Drosophila melanogaster: one gene and its partner. The protein of the gene in region 2 interacts with the protein of the main gene of each other region in a biochemical or structural test. Each region holds a gene or a part of one and is shown on either strand. Other genes may lie near its edges.

Region 1 (3,852 bases), on a different chromosome or scaffold from region 2:
ACTGCTGCTCCTTCTGTTCCGGAAAGGGCAACCGGAACGTGATGTGCTCGTGTGAGGGTCATATGCCTGGATATAGTGGCTGCGGTCATGGACATGCTGGACATCCAGGGAGACGTCATTGGTCCTGCTGTGGAAATGTCCTTGAGAACTCGGAATGCAATGTGGCCAACAAACTGCTTAATTCTTAAGTAATTGATTAGGATGCAGGGCTATAAAACGAATAAATTAACATATAGCCAGGTTTCGCCATTTTGTTTGTTCATCTTGTGAAATTTCAAAGATCTTGTAGTTTATACGCACGCGCAGATAGACAACAAGGATACTTCAAAATAAACGTTTTTCTACCTGCAAAATACATGCATTCCAACAGACCCGACAGTCCATTTACAATGTGCACACAATAATCTCAGATTGCTAAGGCTACAAAATCCCTTTCGACCTCTGGAATTACCAATTGAATTCTCCTTATTACCATATGGTCAGCATATGCGCGTCATATCCTGACCGTTGAGCAACAAGTCGCAAATAAAAGTTACTTATATAGGCTCCAGCAGAATAAAGGTTTTTTTTATTTATTGAAAATGGTTATCATAAATACAGACACTGACTCTGGACATTTATGGAAAAAAGTCCGATGCCTTAAGAGTTGGTTGGGTGGTTTTGAAAGCGCCTGCAAGGAGCTATAATTCTAAGTGGGTAATTTTTCGTTAAATGTATAATCGTTCTTTTTCGCTTTCGATGATCCAACTGTTTAATCTTCATTATCAGAGTACCAGGATAGGCGCTCTTCGTAGAAGTGGATTACCATTCGTGGGATTTTTTCATTGGCCACTGAGGAGGGCACCATTTCTGCTTGGTCCACGCCTTTGAACTGAATGAGGAATGTCAGGCGGCCATTATTGTCGGAGGCACCCAAGATCTTTTCGGCCTCCAGGCCGCGATCGAATCCGGTAGATCCTGAAACGGGAATGGTGTCCTGCTCCGCATCTGTGGTACGTTTTGATTTATTGCCAGAGGGCGCTAAATAAATAAAATAAAAACAAGTAATTAATACAGTGCAATTTTTTAATAGATGCATTTTTTTATTGCAAAGACCATCTTTTTCTTGCGCATGCCATTCTTGCGAAGGACAAAATTTGAGATACATATGTGAATACAGTTTTGACGAAAAGGGCAAATAAATGCCAGTGGATATTGTAGGTGATGACTATTGTTATACCAATTTGTGTACAGAAAATATTTGTAGGTACACTCAATTCCATAGCTTACCTGTTGGTTCTTCGGACTTTCGCTTGCTTGCTGTGGACGTCGAACTGCTGGCGCGTCCTTGAGTTTCCTTGGCCTTGGCGCTGCTGCTGGGTCGATCCTTCTTGGAGGCGGCTGACTTCTCCTACGGACCGAAACGAGATGTAAAGGAAATCCTAGCAAGCACAACTGTACTTGGCATCGCATTGTACTTCACTTACCTCATCCTTGCGGCTCGCCTCGTACTGCTGGATAAGATCCTGGCAGTCGAGATTGTTCTCCGGCTCCCACGTGTTCTCAGTTTCGGGATAGCCCTTCCATTTCAGATAGTACTCCACCTGCAGGTGGAAAATGGCGTTTTAGGACCAAATATAATGGGACGTCTGGTTCGGAAAACTCACCTTTCCCTTGCGCACCCGCCTGTCGATGATCTTTTCCACGGCGTACTCCTCCTCCTCCTCTTCGGCATCGGAAACCTTTGCCGAGCTCTCAGGGTTGTCGATTTTCTTGCCCATTTTGTTTTTATTAAAATACTTCACACGACAAAAAATAAGGAAAGAATTAGCACAACCGCACACAACCGCACACACACGCAAAGTACGAAAGGAAAGTACGATTTTTAGTCGACTCTCTTTGCTTTCATGGCTCACCTAGATTAAATAAGATCTACACTTTATGCACGCAGCTAAATTGGTTTTTATAAGCCTGTGTGTTGGCGCTAGAAGACTTTCCACAAAATGAAAAATCTGCAAAAAAATGCGCGTTCTAAAATGACGCCGGCCGAACAGTGTGCGAAAGTACGCGTGGACTGCTAAGACTACGCTTATCTATTTTCCGATAGATTTGCACATCGTATTAATTTCATTTTAAGTCTAGAAAAATGTTAACACTAAGAACTATCTAAATTTTACAACATAACTATAATAATAACGTAACTAACTGATCGCCAATATCTGTTTTTAAAAATTTTGTAATAAATCGATGAATCGATTAAGGAATCCGTTGTACCACAACTATTATCGACGCGTTTCACAGCACTGAATAAGTTGCGCGAATATTCACGAATTTTTTGACAATTTGCGTTTTGTTTCTTCTGTTTTACGGAAATTCTATAAAAATGCCCAAAACAAAGAAGAAGGATTCGTCCTCAGATAGCGATAGCGGTCCAGATGATGTAAGTTAACTAGAAATACACCAAAACTAGGTATAACAAGTTAAAACCTCTTTCAGCGTATCAAGCCGGCAAGCAAGAAGGCGAAGGAATCTGATGCTCCAAATTCAGATCCAAAAGATTCGGGCGAAAATGGTGCTACATCTTGGACCCTGGAAGGACTTCGCCAGGTGCGAATCAACGAGTTCCGCGGTCGCAAATCGGTGGACATTCGAGAGTTCTACGATAAGGGCGGCCAAATTCTTCCCGGCAAGAAGGGCATCTCCCTATCTTTAATTCAATGGAAGAAACTCCTTGAAGTGGCCGAAGAAGTCACCCGCGCGATCGAGAATTAATTGAAGTTCATCCACATGCCAAACTAAGTCGTAGCCATATGTACTAACTATAGACATATCCACTGAATAAACGTTATCTTAAACACTAGTAATTGAAAATCTGTATTTTCACAGTTGCTGAAGCATTAATGAATGACCAACTTAATTGCCTGATAGGTATTTTCCTTATCTGCTTTGTGGTGGGACTACAAAAAGCACACATATACATAAATGAATGAATCCTTTATTGGACGTCATATGTACATAGATTTGTACATTGATAGCATTTGATATAGATATGAATATTAAAAATAGATGCCCAGAATGGTGAAGATGGACAGGAGAATGGCAAACGGCAGCCAGGTCTTAATAAAACCCCCTATTCCGACGTAGCGGCCGCAGACAAAGAGCCACATGCTGAGGATAATCATGTTCCATGCGGTGCTGTCGTAGTAGCGCATGTAGATGAGTGCCGTTGCCACATGCGAGTGGCAGTTGTCACAGAAGATATTGTGGATGCGGGTGCCGTAGAGCACAGATGCTTTGGAGACCGCCTCGTCCCAGGCGTAACTGCCGCCCACCATGTGCTTGGGGTGCAACCTTATGTACCGGGTGGGTCTTCCAAAGGCCATGTTGTCCTCTGATACGAAGTAGGGGCCGGCGAAGTCACGAATCACACCGGACGAAGTGCAAATGCCCATATGTCCGATCATGGGCATCAGCCAGGTGAGAACCGGAATGGGAGTCCAAACGATGCAGTAGGGGAAGCGTTGGTCCTTTACGTTGATCGGAGGCAGTCTATCCGGAACGCCATTGCCGGCTCCTCCTCCGGAACTGGCCATCGAGATCTGAACGTCCTCGGACTGTTGCCGCTGCGGACTTGGGTTTGTCGACATTATTACACTGTATTAGGTTGATATTTGTGCGGGGAAGCCACAAGAACAGTCACTCACGGTCTTCCCGGCCGTAATGCCCATGAAACGAGTCGCTAACAATTCCAATTGGGCTTTAATTGTACGATAAGGAGAAAATAAAGCAGTCGCAGTTCACTCACATCTACCTCAGTATTTATTGACATGGAGATTGACAGTGTTGGAAAGCATTGCTGTATGGCAGAGGCGT
Region 2 (7,492 bases):
GGGCGAGCAACCCGAGCCACTGAGATCGTAGGCATCGTCGTAGGCCGAAGTCTCCATGGTTTTGGTGTTGTTCTTGTAGAACATCACCTTCATGGTCTTCTGGGCATCATATTTGATTCTCTGCTGGTGGGCTTCATAAACAAAAACATCGACATGATACGCTCGTCCAGCAGAAACTTTCTCCCACATCCATACCCAAAGTGTCATTTTGCGTTGCCTTTGCTGCTTGCTTTTGCCTCAAAATGGCATATTTAAGATTCAGTTTCGAGTGCGTTCCATCAATTAAGAGAACACAGCAAACAATTAGGATTGAGTGGAAACTACTGAACAACTGCATTATCTGGTCATCTGGATGGTTAGCTGAAAATAAAAAGTAACAACAGTGCAAACCGCGTAGAAAACCAGTTTTCTGTGCCGAAGAGATACAAATTCGATATGGTATACGGCAATCGATGAAGAATGGGGTTTGGCGCCAAAAGAGGCTGCATTCAAAAGTGGCGCTTTCTATTAAATATTGCATTTTCTTTATTTCAATTTAAACGATTCCGCTTCTCCTATGTAGAGCACTTTTCATTGTCATCAAAATCTAGGGAGTTGAGAACATTGACGTCCAGTTCTGGGTCCGCGTACTCCAGGATATTGAAGTCGTCTCCCATTTCGGAAGTGAGCGACTTGAGTAGGTCGTCGTCGTCGCCCTCGCCGAGTCCTCCCAGAAGGTCGCTGAATCCGACATTCTCCAACTCCACGGCGGAAGAGGTTGCCTCCTGCGGCTCGCCCAACTTCACATCCTGCTCCAAGGACCTGCCTTCAGATGGCTGAGATTTTCCACTTATGCTCAGCATGGGATTGTTCTGCGTAATGGGTGTGTTCTGCATCATTCCCAGCCGCATTACATCGTTGCCCAAGAACAAGTCCGAGTTGGCCCCCATGAGCATCGGCTCCGTGCTGTTCTTCTGCAGCAGGTTCCTGAGCTTCTTGTCGCCAATGGGTTCCGTGCCGTACACCGCCGTGTTCAACTCCAGCCTATTGTCCACGGTGGTCATTTTCAAGGTGCTGGCTGCTGTCGTGTGCACCTGAGTCCTTTGCATCGTGGCCTTAATCACCAGATTATCGTTAACGTTCGGCATCACGTGATGCGGATTGGGATTATTGGACGCTGCCTGCGCCGAGCCACCAACATAGTTGCCCATATCGTAGGCGTTTCCATCTAGACGAAAAAACAAGGGTTAGAGCAACTAAAACAAGTCTTGAGCTGCAGCACTTACTGTACGTGACAAACATGTTCGGCTGGTCTTCCTTCAGCTTGGGCGGTTGTTTCCACACTCTTCCCATTTCCTCCTGCTTCTGTGGTTTCGGTGGCATAGGTATTTTGTTCTGTTCCCGCCTCTGCCGCAGTGCTGAGCGATTGTCCTTGGCCTTCTGCAAGAACGGCGCCTTCTTCTCGTTGCACAGCGAGCGCCACCTCTTCAGAATCTGCTTGCAGCGGTCGTTCCAAATCGGAAACAACTCCTTCAGGTTGGGATGCTCAGTATTGGCATACAGCACGGCCGAAATGGTGGCCATGAGCCCAAGATCTGCAAAACAAATGGGGTGATGAGCATTTGAATCCTACACTATTTAAATGCACCCTCATACCCTCATCCTTGCGCATTTTCTCCGCCGTCTTTTGAGTGCCAGCGTTCAGGGTTTCCGTCACGGGCTCCACAACCTTCTGCTCCTCCTCTGGTCTCTTTTCGGTTTGCAAAACGACTTGGCTCATTATAGTTTGCATATTCTGCTTATTGGCATTTTGTGGTGCCTGCTGACGGAACTGAAGCTGCTGGGCGGGATTAACCAAAGTATTTCCGCCCAAATATAGCTGATTGTGAAACTTCTGTTCCTGTGGCAACTGGTTGGGGACCATGAAACTGTCGACCAGGACCGCAGGTGATTCCCTTTGAGAAAGAAAAAAGAACAAATTAATAAGCTTAGAATAGACTGGCATATGGACATGAGGCTCACCGCATTGGTTTTTCAATGACTTCAGCTGATGGAACCGTACTAACAGAGTTAGCCATGTCCAGTTCCGGAACATTTGGTGAAGCCAACGCATCCAAAGGATGCCGGTTAGCAAAGACAGTGTTCGAAATCTCCGCTTGCAAGGGATCTGCAAAAATGGTAAACGATACAACCTGGGAATAAAGTGGTCAGTGGGTTGGTTAAACATTTACCAAAAACATTAGACACTGGCGTCGTTCCGTTTTTGTTCTGGATTCCCATGGGCATTTGCTGAATGAAAACAGTTTTGTTCTCAGTTTTCAACTCAGCTTTAACTTTCTTCACGGTCTTCGCTGGACTCTTGTTCACCGCCAGTGTGTCCTGGTTGGCAGGACTCTTGCCCTCGGGCCGCGTGAAGTAAACCTTCATGGACGCATCAATTTCGTCAGAGGAATCTGTATCGGCCATGACAAGCTCTCCACCTTCCAGCAGAGGTTTTCCGAAGAAGGCCTCTTGCAAGTACACGGGATAGGCTTCAATCAGCTTGTTCTTCTGCTTCTTTCGTATGATTTTCTTCTTTTTGTCCATGGTCATAAGGGAATTTATTTGGTCAACGGCCGTCGTCTCCTCGCTGTCCTTCTTGAGACCTCGGTTGCGAACGGAGAATCCACCAATGCCCAGCTTCTGCAGATTGCGCTGTCGCTTCTTGCGTAATATGTTCACTCCCTCGTCGTTAATGGAGATGGTGAAACCCTCGGGAATAGCGTTCTCCGTCCCATCCCAGACCATGCCGTCTTTGTACTTTTCCAGCGCTTCCTCGGCGGCGGCCTCCAATTGTCCATCCTTGCCATTGCCGAGGGCTTGTCGCATTTTGCGCTTGCGTTTGATCTCCGTGGACAATGACTTGATCATGCCCAATCCGCTTTCGCTCAGGCACACTCCGTCAATCCAGTGGAGCGCTTCTGGAGCAGACTCGGGCATATCGCCGGATAAGGTAGGATGATTTCGCTCGGCACCACTCTTAGAATCGAAAGACGGCCCGGAGGAGGCTGTGATGTGCACAAATGGTTTGCTGCCCTGGGGAGTTATGGCCAGCGAATCCTCGTTACCAAACTTGGCATCCGCCAGGGAGTTAGTGCTCCTCGTCGAGCAGCGGCACTTGAAACACTTGTACACATTGTTGTCGTAGTGGTCAATGGTCAGCTGGGCATTGACAGAGTCGCAGTGGAAGTGCGCCCATAGCTCGCAGTGCTCGCACTGGATGATCATCTCGCCGTTGCTGTACGAGACTTTGCAGACGGGACACGAGGATTGGCTGGTGCAGGATGGGCACTCGAGCATGTTGGAGTCCCCGAACTCGCTCTTCTCGGTGGGATTGCGACCGCATTTCTGGCACAGTGTACAGAACGAGCACTTCCAGTTGCCCGTGGGCACGGTTTCCAGCGGAGGATTCACACAGTAAATGTGATACGAAATGTCGCACTCGTCGCACAGGAGCAGGCGCGCCTCGTCGTTCTTCTTGCCACATCCCTCGCACACTGTGCAGTCCAGGCATCGCCAACCCTTCTGCAGGATGCCTCGCGAAGGCTTCACGCCGGCGCAGTACGGATGATAGCATTGGCCGCACTGTGCGCAGGTGATCATCACGGAATCGCTCTCAATGCCCAGCGAGCCGCACATTACGCAGATGTCTTGCGCTTGGATAAACTTATCCCGCGCCGAGCAGAGCAGCAGCTTTTTGTCGCTGGTCAGATCTGTTTCCATGCTGCGACTCAGGCAGCGATCGCTCGAGATGGTGGGCAGCGCAAGCTGGCGCCCCTTGCCTCGGGTGCTGCGTTTCTTGTTGATCTGCGACATCACACCCATGCGGTGTAGGACGAACTTTCCGCTTCTACCGCGAACACTCGTAAGGCACACTTTTTTCTTGCCGGTGGGTAGCTTGTGGAGCTCATCGCTCGATGGATCCATTGTGGGTTTGCCCTCCAGCGGGTCAAGTTCGATTTCCTTGAGGCTCAGTTGCTCCGACGACGAATCCATGGCGGACAGCACGATCGAGTCGATTGTCTGTTGGGATGATCCCGGGCCCGACGAATTACTCTTGCAATTCGGACACACGTAGTCGTAATCTGGGTTTTGCTCCTTCTTCTTGTGGTAGGCCGTTAAATCCGCCTCTTCGTCACACGTACTGTGCACAAATCTGAAACGAATCCATATAATAAGCAAGACTAATCAGGCAGAAGCGAGTGAAACGTACTTGTTGCACCAGCTGCACTTGACCATTTCCTTGTGCGATGCTGCCCTGTACGCTTTCTGGCAAATCGGGCAGGAAAAGCCCTTGTTCCGCTGCTGATAGCACGAATCGCAGATTGTGTAGTGGCTATGCCAGCGGGAGGAGCTGCCGCCGCCAGGAGTTCTTGAACCACAATCCGTACAGACGCGACAGCGCTAGAAGGAACATAAATACCATAAGTATTGGATAACACTTAATATCCGTCAATATCTGCTTACATTGCACTTCCAGCCATATTTGGGGATGGCTGAGATAACTGGTCGCAAGCAGGAGGCGTGGTAAGTCTTCTGGCATTGCTCACACTTAACGTACTTGGTGTCGTTCGAGTCTTGCTGCCTGCAAATCTGGCATTTTGTGCAACGGGCGCAGTTCCACCCAGAACGCGTATCTATGGAAGCATTAAACATGTAAACATGTAAACCAATGGTACGATGGTACTTGACAGTAGTTACCCGGCAAATTGGCCAGACCAATGCAGGTCGAATGAAAGTGGTCTCCGCAGGTACTACACATGATCAGCTTGGACAGATCCCCCAGCGAGGAGCAGGACAGACACTCCACATTATTGTCGCTGCCTGTAAGTCATTTGTTTCCATTAGTTTCTGTGAGAGTTTGCTGCCCAAGAATCACTTACATATCACAGGCACCTGGCTCAAATGTTCCGTGCAGAAGACCGTAAAGCTCTCGAGGATCAGAAGGCACCCAGCAGCGGCGGCACACGGCCAATGGTGCACCTGGCGGCAGTTCATCTTGCAGTTGATGGAGGCCCCGTAGCGTCCACAAAAGTTGCACTTTTGCTCCAGGAACTCCGCGAAGTGGGTGGCAAAGTACGCGCCATCTGCATCGCTTATCTGACTTTTGCGCAGCGACCACATGATGCACATGCGGTGCACGTAGACGAACCCCTCGTCAAGAAATTCGGCGGGATGCACGACGTCCGGCTGTCCAATCTTGTCCAGCTCGTAGTGACAATCGCCCGAACTAGAAGCGGCCTGCTTAGGCCCGTATAACAGCCTGGATCCGTCCTCCCTCAGCCGATCCGTCGGATATTTATCCTTGATCTCGGCGGGCGCGGGCGCCTTCAGTTGTAGAATCTCGCCCTGGCCCAAGGCACTCTTCTCGCCGAGATTGCATAAACAGCACACCTTGCCCGGAAACTTCTCCGGGAAGTACGGCAGGTCGTCGGCCACCGCCTTCTCCTCCATGCTCACAACAACGTTCGTGCTCATCGCGGATTGATGCGTTTCATTAAAATAACAAAAAATAGCCGCCGCTTATTTTGTATACATTACTCGACAGCTAAATAAAATGTCAACGTGCATCGCGCCCCAATGTTATCGAACAGGCGTCAATGTTGTCGAGAACGATGTGCGTTCGTTTGCAGAGCGAGTAGTACAATTATTAGATATAAATATAAAAGTCTTCCTTATATTACAAAGTATTTATACTTTTAAATGGCAAATCAAATATAACATCATATTTTAATTTTTTTTATGCGGCTACAAATTAATTAATTAATTTCTGAAATTATACATTATAAATAATAATACACTTACATTAGGCTGTCACGCCTACATATCGATATACCTTTACCAATCGCATTCAGCTGATCAAAGTGCAACTCTGCAATCCAGCCCTGGAAAAATACCGTACTCCAGTTCTTCAAACTGGAAAAATGATGGCACAACTAAGTTAAACACACAGAAGTAGAAAATGTAAATAAAAGCACAATTATAGACTATTCTGTTAGCATGGCTGTGTATCGTCCCCGCGGCACCCTGGCCAGGGTAATCCACGCCAAATTCCACAACGACAACTCTCTGGAGGACATAGACACTCGGAAGGTAACTCGAAATCCCGAAACAATATGATTTTTCCTAAATTCTGGATGCATTTCAGTGGTACTGCCTGAACCACGAGCTGCCGCCGAGATTCCAGTCCAAGTTCGTGCCGCTCGAGCCGGATGCCACCACCGTGAGCTGGCTGGAGCGCACCAAGGCGCTTTCGGCAAACATCTGGACCCACTTGTGGCACGCCCTGGCTCGCTCAATCCTGCAGTTCTTCATGACCCAGACGGACATCAACGGGTTCCTGAAGCGCGGCTCCATGTTCATACTGTCCGAGGAACAGTTTCGCAAGCTGCTAGTAGCAGGCGGCTTTCAGCCTGCCAGCGGTCAAGAACCTGTAAGATGAGTAAAAGCCTTTAGTCTTGACCACTACTCATCTGCCATCATATCGTAGGTCACGTTGCTGGATATCGGAGCCGGGGACGGTGAGATTTCGCTGCGCGTGGCCAACACCGTTTCCGAGCTGAGCGGAAGTGCCGGGCTGCGGGTCTTCGCCACCGAGGCCAGTTGGACCATGCGCGATCGGCTGAAGAAGCTGAACTTCAACGTAATCACCGAGATAGACGGTCTGCAGAACCTGGAATTGATTCTGTGCCTCAACGTATTGGACCGCTGCTTCGATTCATTCAAGCTGCTCGAGGACATTCACCTGGCACTAGCTCCCAATGGTCGAGCAGTTGTGGCCTTAGTACTTCCCTACATGCACTACGTGGAGACGAATACCTCGCATCTGCCGCTGCGCCCGCTGCTGGAGAACAACGGGCGACAGGCGTCGTTCGAGGAGGAGGCGGCCAGGTTTATGGAGCTGCTGGAGAACTGTGGCTACCGCGTGGAGGCATGGACCAAGGCGCCGTACTTGTGCGAGGGTGATCTCCACCAGTCGTTCTATTGGTTAATCGATTTAATTGTTGTCATTTCCAAGAAGACATTCTAGATCAAAGCTTCCACATCCTAAAAAGAACCCTTCTGAAGTTATTGTAACCGTTTTCCTCGTAGAGTTAAGTGGCTGCATTGAGAAACTGAGCATTTATACTTATTACAAATGTAGGCTATCAACTAGTTAAACAATTTATTCTTAAAGAATTACCAAAAATGTAAATGGATAAACAAACATGTTTAAATTAAAGGGCGACATTCAAAGCCGCGTTCGAAACTGAATACTGTTCTCGATATTATCAACTAATTGTAGTTATTCTACAGTCTTGGGTAGTTTTAATGCATCTAACTTGATACTTGTGGCAGTAATCAGGTAACTTAGAATATGTATTTGACGAGCAGCTGTTTAATAACAAATGTCAGTATTGTCGAAGGTATTATGTGTACTAAACTAAGCCTTATATAGTCTTTGGTAGTCATTGGCATTTTTTTTTGCTTGTGA

What was found. The genes of interacting proteins can lie anywhere in the genome.
Region 1: the proteins of Lpt (region 2) and Su(var)205 form a complex in vitro, tested with the Drosophila melanogaster proteins (one study listed by BioGRID).

Annotation. Positions count from the first base shown.
Region 1 is NT_033779.5:8,209,084-8,212,935, forward strand, and holds Su(var)205 (suppressor of variegation 205), read right to left. Parts: upstream 2,040-3,852; 5' UTR 1,761-2,039; coding exon 1,647-1,760; intron 1,584-1,646; coding exon 1,467-1,583; intron 1,391-1,466; coding exon 1,270-1,390; intron 1,021-1,269; coding exon 752-1,020; 3' UTR 543-751; downstream 1-542. Other genes in the region: CG8419 (uncharacterized protein), read left to right, coding at 1-188; Ssb-c31a (single stranded-binding protein c31A), read left to right, coding at 2,363-2,419, 2,476-2,751; CG8372 (uncharacterized protein), read right to left, coding at 3,036-3,626. UniProt on the Drosophila melanogaster protein: Structural component of heterochromatin, involved in gene repression and the modification of position-effect-variegation. Recognizes and binds histone H3 tails methylated at 'Lys-9', leading to epigenetic repression.
Region 2 is NT_033778.4:23,896,674-23,904,165, reverse strand, and holds Lpt (lost PHDs of trr), read right to left. Parts: upstream 5,606-7,492; 5' UTR 5,497-5,605; coding exon 4,902-5,496; intron 4,843-4,901; coding exon 4,720-4,842; intron 4,656-4,719; coding exon 4,486-4,655; intron 4,423-4,485; coding exon 4,232-4,422; intron 4,175-4,231; coding exon 2,211-4,174; intron 2,147-2,210; coding exon 2,002-2,146; intron 1,935-2,001; coding exon 1,636-1,934; intron 1,575-1,635; coding exon 1,266-1,574; intron 1,208-1,265; coding exon 555-1,207; 3' UTR 505-554; downstream 1-504. Other genes in the region: CG13562 (uncharacterized protein), read right to left, coding at 1-131, 196-337; CG5339 (uncharacterized protein), read left to right, coding at 6,019-6,111, 6,167-6,451, 6,509-7,048; CG17658 (uncharacterized protein), read right to left, coding at 7,467-7,492.